2 linked regions of the Arabidopsis thaliana genome follow. The protein of the gene in region 1 interacts with the protein of each later gene in a biochemical or structural test. Each region holds a gene or a part of one and is shown in the gene's direction. Other genes may lie near its edges.

What was found. Proteins that work in one complex are often made in the same cells at the same time.
Region 2: the proteins of FIP37 (region 1) and FKBP12 form a complex in vitro, tested with the Arabidopsis thaliana proteins (one study listed by BioGRID).

The regions. Positions count from the first base shown.
Region 1 is NC_003074.8:20,054,275-20,061,004, forward strand, and holds FIP37 (FKBP12 interacting protein 37), read left to right. Parts: upstream 1-2,389; 5' UTR 2,390-2,573; coding exon 2,574-2,643; intron 2,644-2,727; coding exon 2,728-2,836; intron 2,837-2,919; coding exon 2,920-2,956; intron 2,957-3,055; coding exon 3,056-3,143; intron 3,144-3,242; coding exon 3,243-3,307; intron 3,308-3,397; coding exon 3,398-3,475; intron 3,476-3,595; coding exon 3,596-3,643; intron 3,644-4,020; coding exon 4,021-4,074; intron 4,075-4,348; coding exon 4,349-4,510; intron 4,511-4,655; coding exon 4,656-4,725; intron 4,726-4,808; coding exon 4,809-4,864; intron 4,865-4,966; coding exon 4,967-5,122; 3' UTR 5,123-5,309; downstream 5,310-6,730. Other genes in the region: AT3G54160 (RNI-like superfamily protein), read left to right, coding at 1-45, 220-360, 442-753; CDKB1;1 (cyclin-dependent kinase B1;1), read left to right, coding at 5,608-6,235, 6,330-6,399, 6,603-6,730. UniProt on the Arabidopsis thaliana protein: Probable regulatory subunit of the N6-methyltransferase complex, a multiprotein complex that mediates N6-methyladenosine (m6A) methylation at the 5'-[AG]GAC-3' consensus sites of some mRNAs.
Region 2 is NC_003076.8:25,733,578-25,739,030, reverse strand, and holds FKBP12 (FK506-binding protein 12), read left to right. Parts: upstream 1-2,885; 5' UTR 2,886-3,040; coding exon 3,041-3,128; intron 3,129-3,527; coding exon 3,528-3,561; intron 3,562-3,742; coding exon 3,743-3,804; intron 3,805-3,917; coding exon 3,918-3,970; intron 3,971-4,119; coding exon 4,120-4,221; 3' UTR 4,222-4,441; downstream 4,442-5,453. Other genes in the region: EIP9 (Chaperone DnaJ-domain superfamily protein), read left to right, coding at 429-1,823. UniProt on the Arabidopsis thaliana protein: PPIases accelerate the folding of proteins. It catalyzes the cis-trans isomerization of proline imidic peptide bonds in oligopeptides. Mediates rapamycin inactivation of TOR protein kinase activity.

The DNA.
Region 1 (6,730 bases):
GAAAATGTTCAGATTCTGAGCTTAGGCGTTGTTGACACGATGCAGGTAAGTGATCGCTATTGTTTCTCTTTAATATGTTACTGTAGCTTAACAACTAGTAGAGCATGAGGAAATTTAAATCTAGGAACCATTGAGATACTAAGATCATATCAATCTTGCTAGTGATTAGAATGTTTGCTCAAGTAATGACTGACTTAGTTGTTTTTAATTCTGTTTCAGGTGTTTTGTTTCTTCGAAGAAGCAGTACCAGTGTTTGAAAACCTGTTTCATTTATCACTTAGCACTGAAGTAGATTTCTGTTGGAATGTTCTACCAATTCTGCTTGAGAAATCTCCAAATCTAAAGACTCTCACCATTCAGGTATGACCTAAGACCCCCAAAAGTATATTGGACAAACTAAAGAGTCAAAATCTTCAATCTCAAAATTCCTGTCTTTTCTAGGCTTTGCATTATACTACTAATCACTATGGGGATGAGAACACTGTTTGCGATTGTTTGGAGGTGTATTCTTTCTTATCGTCCTGCCATATTGAGGTTCTAAAGATAACCCAGTTCAAGGGAGATATCGGAGAGATGGTGCAAATAAAGCATATCTTGGAGAAATTGCCGAGTCTTGAGCTGTTGGAAATTCATGGTCAGGTAAAAGGAGATGACAAAAAGCTGCAGATCATGTTGGATCTCCTAATGTTCGAAAGAGCTTCGTCTGAATGCAAAGTCGAGGTCAAGTTTCCAGTTTGTTTTGCCTCAGCATGAACTTCCATATCTGATAAGAGAAACAAATGAGCTTCCGGTTTGTTGTTGACATGAGAGCTGGTTTGTTTAGTGTCTTTCTTATCCATGCAATTTCTGTATATAACAGCTTGACATTTTTGTCATCTTTGGCTCCTTGTTGTGTCGTTTCTTCGTGCCTAATTCACTTGAGTTTGTAAGAGAGATGCTATAGCTATTAGCTATCAGCTACGTTAGGTCTACTATGACTCATTTGTGCTGTATGTTATTGTTACTTTACAGTTTACACAGTCTATTTGACAATTTGGTAAATGGGATATGATTTGACTGATGTTGTTTGTTTCGGCTCTAGTAACATTGTAGTTTATATGTTTTATCAACGAGCTAAAAATATCTCAGTATATGCAATGCGCAGAGAACTAGAACAAAGCTTGATTTAAAAAAGAAACACATCATAAACCAACATACACAAGAACTAGATGATTATGGCTACAAGAGACTAAAGTTGTTATATAGATTGTGTCCAGAGATACAAATACAATACACACGAAGTCATTAAGCATTGACACTCAATTGTTACAAAACCCGAAACCATCACACATAAACGTAGCCATAGTCAGATAATGAGAAGAGAAACACAAATACGTAGCCATAGACAGATAATGAGCAGAGAAATATAGTTGAATCTCTTTTTTTTCACCTAGTAAATAATGAAATTGCTAACAAAAAAGGGATTTTATTTGTATTTTAGTCAAATAAGTAATCTACATAGTATTTTTGCAAAATTTTTTGTCGGGATGCATTTAGATCAATTTGGTATCCGCCCATTTTAATAATTTTGTTCATTGAGTCTTAGTTGGGTCGGTTCAAATAAAACTCGATTCTAGACCTGTTTTAAAAACTTTTACAACGGATATTTCCAGATTAAACAATATTAATAATTAGAAGATTTGGTTAACATTTAAAACTATAAATCTTCTTTCATCTTTGTTTGAATTTTTTAACTGTTTTAAATCAATATATAAAATTAAAAATAAATCTCAAGTTTTTATCCTACATATATTGTGATTCGAAATTTTAAAAATGGACATATGTTATCTAATGGACGAAAAATGTGTGGGTTCACGGTTCACCGTTTCACATCAGCTAAAATTAAACAATGATTTAAAATCATATCATAAATAAGTTCAACATTAATAAAATAAATAGGTTTTTTGGCTAGACGAATTTAACGAAACGGGTTTTTAAATCAACATTAATAAAAAAGTAATATATCATTAATTCACTGTTTTAATACAGATTAAATCCTTAATTTATTATTTTTAACACCACCAATATTAAACATATCAAATCAGTTTGAATAGAAAATATTGTATAAAACAAAAAAAAATGTTCCGTACTATAATGTTACTTAATAACAATTATAAATTATAAAATATAAATATTTCAAAAAATAATATAATTTGTAAACTTTTATCCATAATAAATAGCCATTAAAATTTAAAAATTACTATTTTTAGAAAACAAATTACGAATTAGAATAAGAAATTACAGAACATGATATATTTTGGAACAGAATAATATGGCGAACGATTTTGAATAAATATTTTTAAAATTTTAAATAATATTAATATGCCATTTTAATACTAGTTAAATCTTCAATTTACTATTTACGATTGTCTCCTGAACACCTGTTATACCATTAGTAAAAAAACGGATCCATGACCGATTGACCACGTTCTCGTCTTCCCCCAAATCTAAAACCCTAAATTCTCAATTGCTCGTCACACTTCGTCACTCCACCAGCGACAATCGCCGCAGAAACCTCTACGAAACTTGCTACAATGGAGTTTTCATCACAAGACGACGATTTTGGAGGAGACGATTCCGCTGCTAATGCCACCAGGGCTTCAGGTCCCGACATTAATGGATTTCTCTTAATTCATGGTTTTTGTTTAAGGTTGGATTGGACATTAATTTCTCATCTGTATCATTCAGGTAATAGAAGAAGCTTCGGTGATCTTGAAGACGATGAAGATGATATTTTCGGATCAACAACGGTAGCGCCTGGTGTTAGAACTGGGATGATTTTGTCTCTCCGAGGAAGGTTATTATCCAATCCTTTCTTCATGTATGAGAAAAATCTTTGATGTATAATTCTAACTTTCTTTTGCTTTTTCTCTTTGGCAGTCTTAAGAATTGTAAAGATGATCTTGCTTCATGTCAAGTAAGCATTGTTACTGTTCATCCCTAATCTGTTTGAATTCTATACCATTGCTGTTTATGGTTGCTTCGCTTTTGCATCTAACTATATCGTTTTGGTTAGAATGAGCTCGAGTCAGCAAAAACAGAGATTCAGAAGTGGAAGTCAGCGTTTCAGAATGAGTCCTTTGTTCCCGCTGGAAAATCTCCTGGTTAACCTCTCTTTCTCAATTTTGTTTTGTACATTTGTATATGCGATGTTAATTCTTGAGCATTCAATATGATTCTGTTTGGTACTTTTTTTTTTCCAGAACCAAGATTTTTGATTGATTATATTCAAAACCTAAAATCTTCTGAGAAATCTTTGAAAGAACAGGTTTGTACTTGAGTAATAACTTGTGTGTATATATCAATATGAAGGTCTTGATTTTCAAATAAGGTTTGGTTGTTGTTTCTCTCTTTTCAGTTAGAAATCGCAAAGAGAAAAGAAGCGTCATGCATTGTACAATATGCGAAACGGGAACAAGAAATGGCAGAATTGAAGGTAATTCTCGAGAAACTCATTGCCTACCACTTTGATTCCTGACTGATGCTATCACATGTTTTCTTGACCATTACATAGAATAGATGTCGCTAAACACAGTCTTGTATTTTGTATTTCTAGTCAGCTGTTCGCGATTTGAAATCTCAACTCAAGCCAGCGTCAATGCAGGTATATAGTTCTCCCAATGTTTTGATTCTGGAATAATTTATACAATTGTGCCAACAATACAAATCGTGAAAAAAGTTAGCTGTTGAAGTAACTTGGACTTTTCTAGGCATAGTCCGCTTTTTATGCCGTAGTGTACCTTTTATGACGGTCATCCTCGACCTTGATGCATGTAGAGGGAAACCTTTTCCTTGCCTTTTAGATTTCAGTCTGAATACGATGATAAGCGCATGTTTCTTGTAAACCTTTACCTGGCATCTGAATTATTAACAAGTCTGAATAGAAGAAATGGCTATAAATTTTGAATTGCAATGGTCATTTAGCAGCTTGTCATGATCAGATAGCAGTGTAGATTATTTATTCTTTGTTTACCTTTGTAGGCGAGGAGGTTGTTACTGGATCCAGCAATTCATGAAGAATTTTCACGTCTGAAGGTCTGCACCTACTCGTTTCTATTTACCCTTAGACTACTTTTTCATAAGGATGTATTTGTCGTAATATATCCTTAGATAATCCAAACTGTATCTACGGAACAAAATTCCGCTTTCGTTATGAATGGCCTGAAAGAATAATTCCTTAATAACTGATAGCTGACACTGTCGTAGTAGATACAGTTGAGGACGAACATTCCCAACTTTTTGTTAATGTACATTTGTTGCAGTTAAGTAAAGAGTAGATGAAGTTTGATTCCATGTTTCTATTATGCAGAATCTAGTAGAGGAAAAAGACAAGAAGATCAAGGAACTCCAGGACAACATTGCAGCAGTTACTTTTACTCCTCAAAGCAAGAATGGAAAGATGCTTATGGCAAAGTGCAGAACCCTGCAAGAGGAAAATGAGGAGATTGGGCACCAAGCTGCCGAAGGAAAGGTATAGTTTGTTCTACTCTCAGTCTTCAATCTGGAATTATATGAATTATATAGTAAAGCAGTAGTCTTCTTCAACCTTTGTAAAACATGATTCCCTGAAAAGGGTAAAGAAATTGATGCTTGCCTATGTTCATGTGGAATGGCAGATTCATGAACTAGCAATAAAGCTTGCAATGCAGAAGTCTCAAAACGCGGAACTTAGAAGTCAATTTGAAGGTAAGTCATATGTTGATATTAAGTTATAGCAAAGATTTTTGTAGAGTTTGCAATTTGGATTTGAGGATTTTTGTGGAATGCAGGACTGTACAAACACATGGAGGAATTAACTAATGATGTTGAGAGATCAAATGAAACGGTGTTGATCCTTTTCTCTTATCTCTTAATTCCTCAAGATTTTTCTTAAAACGGAAGAATGATTATGGTTTTGTTGGAAATATGTGACTTTGATAAATCTCAGGTGATAATATTGCAAGAGAAACTGGAAGAGAAAGAGAAGGAGATAGAGAGAGTAAAGAAAGGACTGGAAATTGTGTCTGAGCTAGTAGGTGACAAGAAAGATGAAGTTGATGAAATTGATGAAGATGCAAAAGAAGAAATTGCTGGTGGAGAATAGGAATTTGTAGCTTTCAAAAAATGTTTTGTACATTTTGAAGTTCAAAATCACATTTCTTCATTCGTTATCTGTTTCATGAAACAGAAAGTTCTAATCTTCATCTTCTATTAATATGTTTTAATTCGCACCATTGGTGTTTCGATATCGATATGTGGCTTCCCGATATAACTCGTGAAGAATTTGAACTCGTCAACTCACGCAAATCATCTGAGTAGATATCAGATTAGACCAAAATAAGTGAGTCCAATTAGTTTTCCCCAAAAACATTCACAGAGGTCACGACTTTAGGTTAATCTGTTGCAGTTGTCACGAACGAATTCAAAATCCAAAGGAGCGGGAAAAACGAAGTGACGTGGAAGTATCTTAGCGAAAGCATCTCTCTCTCTCTCTCTCACAATCCATCATCTTCATTAATCTGATCAAATAATAGGGTTAATCAAAAGTCCAGAAACCAACACAGTTCAATTTTACGAAACCTCTCAGAAATGGAGAAGTACGAGAAGCTAGAGAAGGTCGGAGAAGGAACATACGGGAAAGTCTACAAAGCGATGGAGAAAGGAACTGGTAAGCTTGTTGCTCTGAAGAAAACTCGTCTCGAGATGGACGAAGAAGGTATTCCACCAACTGCTCTTCGTGAGATCTCGCTTCTCCAGATGTTATCAACATCGATCTATGTTGTTCGATTACTCTGCGTCGAACATGTTCATCAACCATCAACCAAATCTCAATCTACCAAATCCAATCTCTATCTCGTTTTCGAGTATCTCGATACTGATCTTAAGAAATTCATCGATTCGTATAGGAAAGGACCTAATCCTAAGCCTCTTGAGCCTTTTTTGATTCAGAAGTTGATGTTTCAGCTTTGTAAAGGTGTTGCGCATTGTCATAGTCATGGTGTGCTTCACCGTGATCTTAAACCGCAGAATCTTCTTCTGGTGAAAGATAAAGAGCTTCTTAAGATTGCTGATTTGGGTCTTGGTCGTGCTTTTACTGTTCCTCTTAAGTCTTATACGCATGAGATTGTTACTCTTTGGTATAGAGCTCCTGAAGTTCTTCTTGGATCTACTCATTATTCAACTGGTGTTGACATGTGGTCTGTTGGTTGTATCTTTGGTTAGTAGTCTCAATTATGCTTTTATGTTTTTGAATTCGTCTCTCTGCGATGTGATTTTGTATTTATGCTGTTTCAATCTTTGAATTTGTATAGCTGAGATGGTTCGGAGGCAAGCTCTTTTCCCTGGTGATTCTGAGTTTCAGCAATTGCTTCATATCTTCAGGTATTTTGAATTTACCTTCCATTACTTCTTCTGGTTTTGTCCTGTTTCAGTGTGAATTGCATCACTGAATGATATGCTAGCTTACCAATTGAGAACAACTGATTCTATATAGTCCAGGTTTCTTTGACCAATTATTCAATGGATTTAGCATTCTTGAATAGAGACTATGATCTTTACTAATGGTTCCTATTTGGTTCATGGAGGTTGCTAGGAACACCAACTGAGCAGCAATGGCCGGGTGTTTCCACACTGCGTGACTGGCATGTTTACCCTAAGTGGGAGCCGCAAGACTTAACTCTTGCTGTTCCTTCTCTTTCACCTCAAGGAGTTG
Region 2 (5,453 bases), on another chromosome or scaffold:
CAAATCTCTCATCTACAAAAATAAAAATAAAATAGTAAATAATGTTTTTTTTAATTAAAAAAATCTCTCAGTAAAGATGAGTGAGTCTCTCATTTGAGAGATTACAAGAAACTTTTCCAATTGTTTAGAGAAACTGTCCTAAGAGAATAATATTACATCTTATTTTATTAATATTTTTTGTAAGTGAAAAATTTAGAAAAAAGTGTTCCGGCCCATTGACGATCCATCACATTGCACATATTATATAAAATGAAAAGGACCAAAATGCCATTGACGATCCATCATGTTGTTGTTCCGGCCCATTGACGATCCATCATGTTTTCGTCCTTTTAATTTTTAGATCTGTATTTACTCTTTACCGATAAAATAATAAATAAATTCAACGGGGAGAGAGGAAAAACGAAAGGGAACAAAAAGAAATAGGGGATATGGTAGGCGGACGCGGCGGAGTTGGCGGTGGTGGTGGTAACAGAGTGGAGGCGGATCAGTGGCTTGTAACATCGGAGAAGCTTCTAGCGTCTAGTGATCTTCAAGGAGCAAAGACATTTGCGATCCGCGCATGCGAAGCTGACCCGACCCGAGCAGAAGCTGCAGACTACATCCTCGCAATCTGCGACATTCTTCTCGCCGGAGAGACTCGTTTAGGTGATTCCAACTTGCCAGACTGGTACGCCGTTCTCCGACTCGGTCGTTTAGCTCAAAACCCTGAACACGTCGCGACTCAGTACCGTAGACTCGCTCTTCTCCTCAATCCTTCCGTTAATCGTCTCCCATTCGCCGATCGAGCTCTTAAAATCGTCTCCGATGCTTGGTTCGTTCTCTCTGATCCGTTCAAGAAATCATTCTACGACCGAGAATTGCAACTTAGTCAACTCGGTCAATCTGGATTCCATCCTCAAACCCAATCGCATCAAAATTTCCAGTGGGAACCTAGCAGTAGCACCGCCGTATATCCGCCACCGCGGTCTCAGAGCCAGGCTGGGACCTCGGCGGATCCTATGGCGACGAGCTTCTGGACCGCTTGCCCTTACTGCTTTGTACTCTTTGAGTACCCTAAGGCTTACGAAGAATGTACTTTGAAATGTCAAGAATGTAGAAGAGCGTTTCAAGCTGTGACGATACCAAAACCTCCGGTGGATAAGAAAGACGACGAAGACGTTTACTTTTGCTCATGGGCTTTGTTTCCATTGGGGTTTTCCGGTGAATTTCAAGCTCCAAGTTGGTCACCTATTTCACCTCTCTTTGCCTGTCCTCTGCAAAAGTTGGATGGTGAACCAAAGAAGAGAAAGGAACCGGGTCCTCCTAGGATTTACTATGACGATGATGACATTTATGTTGCGATTTCGGATGGAGATGACGCTGGTGATGATGGTGATTGGCAAGATGTGGTACAAGTGAATAAGAAGACGAATGTTGGGAAAGGGAAAGAAACATATGTGAGAAGTAACAAGAAACATGGAGTTGAAGAAGTCCAAAATGTAGAAAGTATCAGTAGTGCTAGCAATCACGCGGTTTCAATTGCTTCAAATGCTGCGGCTGTTGGGTCTTCAACTGGGGTTATGTCTAAACCAGGGAGTTATATTACTAGAAAACGAATGGGAACAGGCGCTAAGAACCTGGGGAGGTTGGATTTGAATGTGGAGTTTAGTAATGAAGTGGAAGAGCCTGGTGTGGCAGGTGGGGGAAATGCAGGCAATGGGATCGGAAGTAACAGGGAGGTAGATAATATGGAAGGGATTGGGTTCTTTGAGGGACTTGATGAATTCTTGAATAGTTTGCCCATACTTTCTGTTGTTGGAGATGATAAGATCAAGGCTACTTAGTGAAGTAAGGCTTTTTCCTCTCTTTGTTTAGGTTGCGGGTGTTTCGTTGTTGTAGGCCTTAGCTTTTATGTTTCCTGTTGATGTTTAACTGTAGTGGAAATACTAGCATTTTGATTCCTTGGAATCCCTGTAGTTGGAATCTGTTGATGTTATTTTGCTCAAAATTCGGATGCTTTCGTCGCTTTCTGGTATATAGTCTTCTGCTTCTGAGTTCTGAGTAAAGGCATTAAGATTATCTTTCTCGGGTTTATTAGACTATAAAACCTTACTAGCCAAATGCCTTATCTAAAGTAAAGTGAGTTACTTATCCTGCTCAGGTTTCATTTTGTTCCAAAAGAATTATGTTCCTCCAACTCAAAAGGCCATAGAGCAGCAAATTGCAAAACATAGGTGGTTTCCATGTCGTAATTGCTGCTTCTGTTCATTCACTAGATAACTTGTTGTGTTCTGGACTGACAAACGAAGAGGGAAAGTGACAACACACATTGCTTGCTTCATTCATCCTTGATGCTTTGAAAGGTAAGGAAAACAAGTAAGCTTTTTGTCAAGAATTTCTTGCTGGGGTCTAAGGTAAAGACCTAAACGGCTATGTAGAGTTTTTTTTGTGTAGTCATAGTAGCTAGGTATTCTCACTTACCTGTAATGAGTATTCTGCAGAATCTAGAAGATACAGAAGCTATCCAAGAGGTGATTCGTGCACGTTATCTGGCTTTTATACGCTCCAGTTGCGCAGTGAAGGTTCCATTGTCTGTTCATAAAAGCTTGTTTAAGACATTAATGATGGAACTGTTTAGCCGTTTAGGCTCTAAACATGATATCTACATAATCATTTTTTCTGTAATTGTGATGAAGAAGGTTCGTTGTATCTATATTGCTCTGTCTTCTTGACCATGTATCTTTCAAAAATGCGAAGGAAATTTTGATAGCTACAAGTCTGGGCTTGAATTTGATGAATCCGAAGTAAAAAATAGTTTTGGGCTAGATTCTGCTTCTTAATTCGGTCTGGTACAGTATTATATTATCCACCTTTGAGAAAGAATAAATAATGGGCCTAAATTTCATCGAATTGGGTTTTGGATTATTGTTAGGCCCAGATAGGGTTTAGATCAAACAGCATGATAATTGATAAATAACAAAATATATAGGCAAAAGCTACTCCGAGATTCGAAGCTGCAAAGAACGCGAAACAGTGAGAGAGACAGAGAGAAGATATAGAGATGGGTGTGGAGAAGCAAGTCATCAGACCCGGCAACGGTCCCAAACCCGCTCCGGGCCAAACCGTCACCGTCCATTGCACCGGATTCGGTAACTTTCCTCTGCATATTTATATCTTTGAAAATTCCATGATAGGCTAAATCGATCTATACAAATCTGCTTTGTTGAAGAGCTATTTGATGTGTTGTGGTAGTCGTACTCGCTATTTGTTTGTTTTCTATGATGTGAAATAGATTTAATTAGGGTTTATGTTCTATTCTGGGTGGTGATAGTAACACTTAGGTCATAATTAATCTGTAATTTTGCTGTTCTGCGAGATTATTTGTCTGCTCATCTGAAACTTCATACGAATAGATCTCTTGTTTAGATTTTCTATTTGTAGGTTTAATTAAAGAATCTTGTTTATCTTATAATCCAGTTTCTTGTGTGGAATTGAAATGAATTTGTTTGAGAATCTTATTTCTCTTGTGTGTGTGTTTTTTTTGGCAGGGAAAGATGGTGATCTATCCCAGAAGTTCTGGAGGTAAATAATTCTTTATTGTAAGCTTTGATTCTAGGATCAATAAAAAGATAATTACACTTACTTGTTCTTATCATCTACGCATACTCAGTTTATAAATCAATATGTTTCGTCTTAAAAGACTTATTTAATTTGGTATTTCCTTGAGCCTAACTGTGTTTTGTTCTTTGGTATATCATTATAGTACAAAGGACGAGGGACAAAAACCTTTCTCGTTCCAAATCGGTAAAGGTGCTGTGATCAAAGGTATAAACTTACTTACTCTGTTTTATGGTTAATCATATCATATCTCTGAACCTATTTGCCTCTTTTTTGGCGAGTGAACATCATATGATTCGATTGTTTAACTTTGCTTACAGGATGGGATGAAGGCGTTATCGGAATGCAAATTGGAGAGGTTGCTCGCTTGCGGGTATGTATACTCTGCTTCTCTCATCATGTTCCTCTTTGCCATCTATGCTTTTATGGCTCTCTGTTGAAGCACTTTTGTCTTTCATGATAGTTTGGGTGTTTCGTTATATGTTTAACATCTTTGGCTTGCGATCTTATCTGCTTCTGCAGTGCTCATCGGATTACGCATATGGCGCTGGTGGATTTCCGGCATGGGGGATCCAGCCAAACTCTGTTCTCGACTTTGAAATCGAAGTACTGAGCGTGCAGTAATGATCTCCCCAGCTCCTAAACTGTGGGTAGATTATTAAACAACCCTTTATGTTTATTGCTTCTGGGATCTTTATGCAACAAAACTTTGTGATGTCATTGCTCTTCTAAAACTCTTGGACAACGTTTTTATCTAAATAAAAGAAAAGACCCGTCTCGTGTTTCAGTTGGAATGTTTGTACTATATTATGATATTATTCCCGTTTTTTTATTTTGATTAAAATGGTTTTGTTTATTCAATCAAAATGCCAATAAAAAGCACAAAAGAATCAAACTAAAACTTCAATCTTAATGACATATCAGACCCAAAGCAAATGGTCTCAACCATAATGAAATTTGAATTGACCACTTCTAATTCAAAACACAGTATAAATTACTGTTCTTAATATCAAATCAAAGGAAGAAAAAAGACTAAAGTTAAAAACTTTTTCAGACAAGATACATAAGTTAACAAAAGAAAGGAAGAAAAAAGAGAGAGACGCGAGAGAAGTCGTGCGGGTAATTAAGCACTTAAAATTCCCGTGCAATTCTTTAATCATCACTTATGCTTCTTTTTTCTTTTTCTTTTCTCCATTTTCATTTTCATTCTTTTTACTTTTCTTTTTCTTTTCACCCACATTCCCCAATCACATAAGTCCTTTTATGAATAATAACTTTTAACATAAATGAAAGTCTACATAATATTTTTAAAAATAAAACAAAAGTATTGAGCTAATTTTGGCGTTGTATAAGCTAGATAGATGCTAAATTGTCAATTTAAATTAAACAATTAAAAAGAGTGGTTAGCTTTTATTCTTTTCCGTCACAATGGGTGTTTGAAACACACACAACACCGCACCTGAACAAATGTACTATTAAAATATAATTAAGGATGAAAAAAAGCTTGAGCACACTTTCACTAACTTAGCTTTCAATAAAATTAAAGAGGGATTATAACCTGAAATAGTATTTATTTAGAAAATAATTAAGGATATAATAAAGCTCGACCACACTTTCACTAACTTAGCTTTTAAAATAAATAAGAGAAAACGTATGAACTTTTACTTTAACGAATTAAGTATATATTAAAAAATTATATTGGTTAGAAAAATATTATTTAATGATAAAGTATAACCTGAAATTATGGACCGTGAGACTTTGTCATCATATATACCATAATTACGTATATACACGTTCGGCCCCCTTGTCCCATTTCTTTCAAGCAAAGCACAAATATAAACATTGCCACCGTTTTT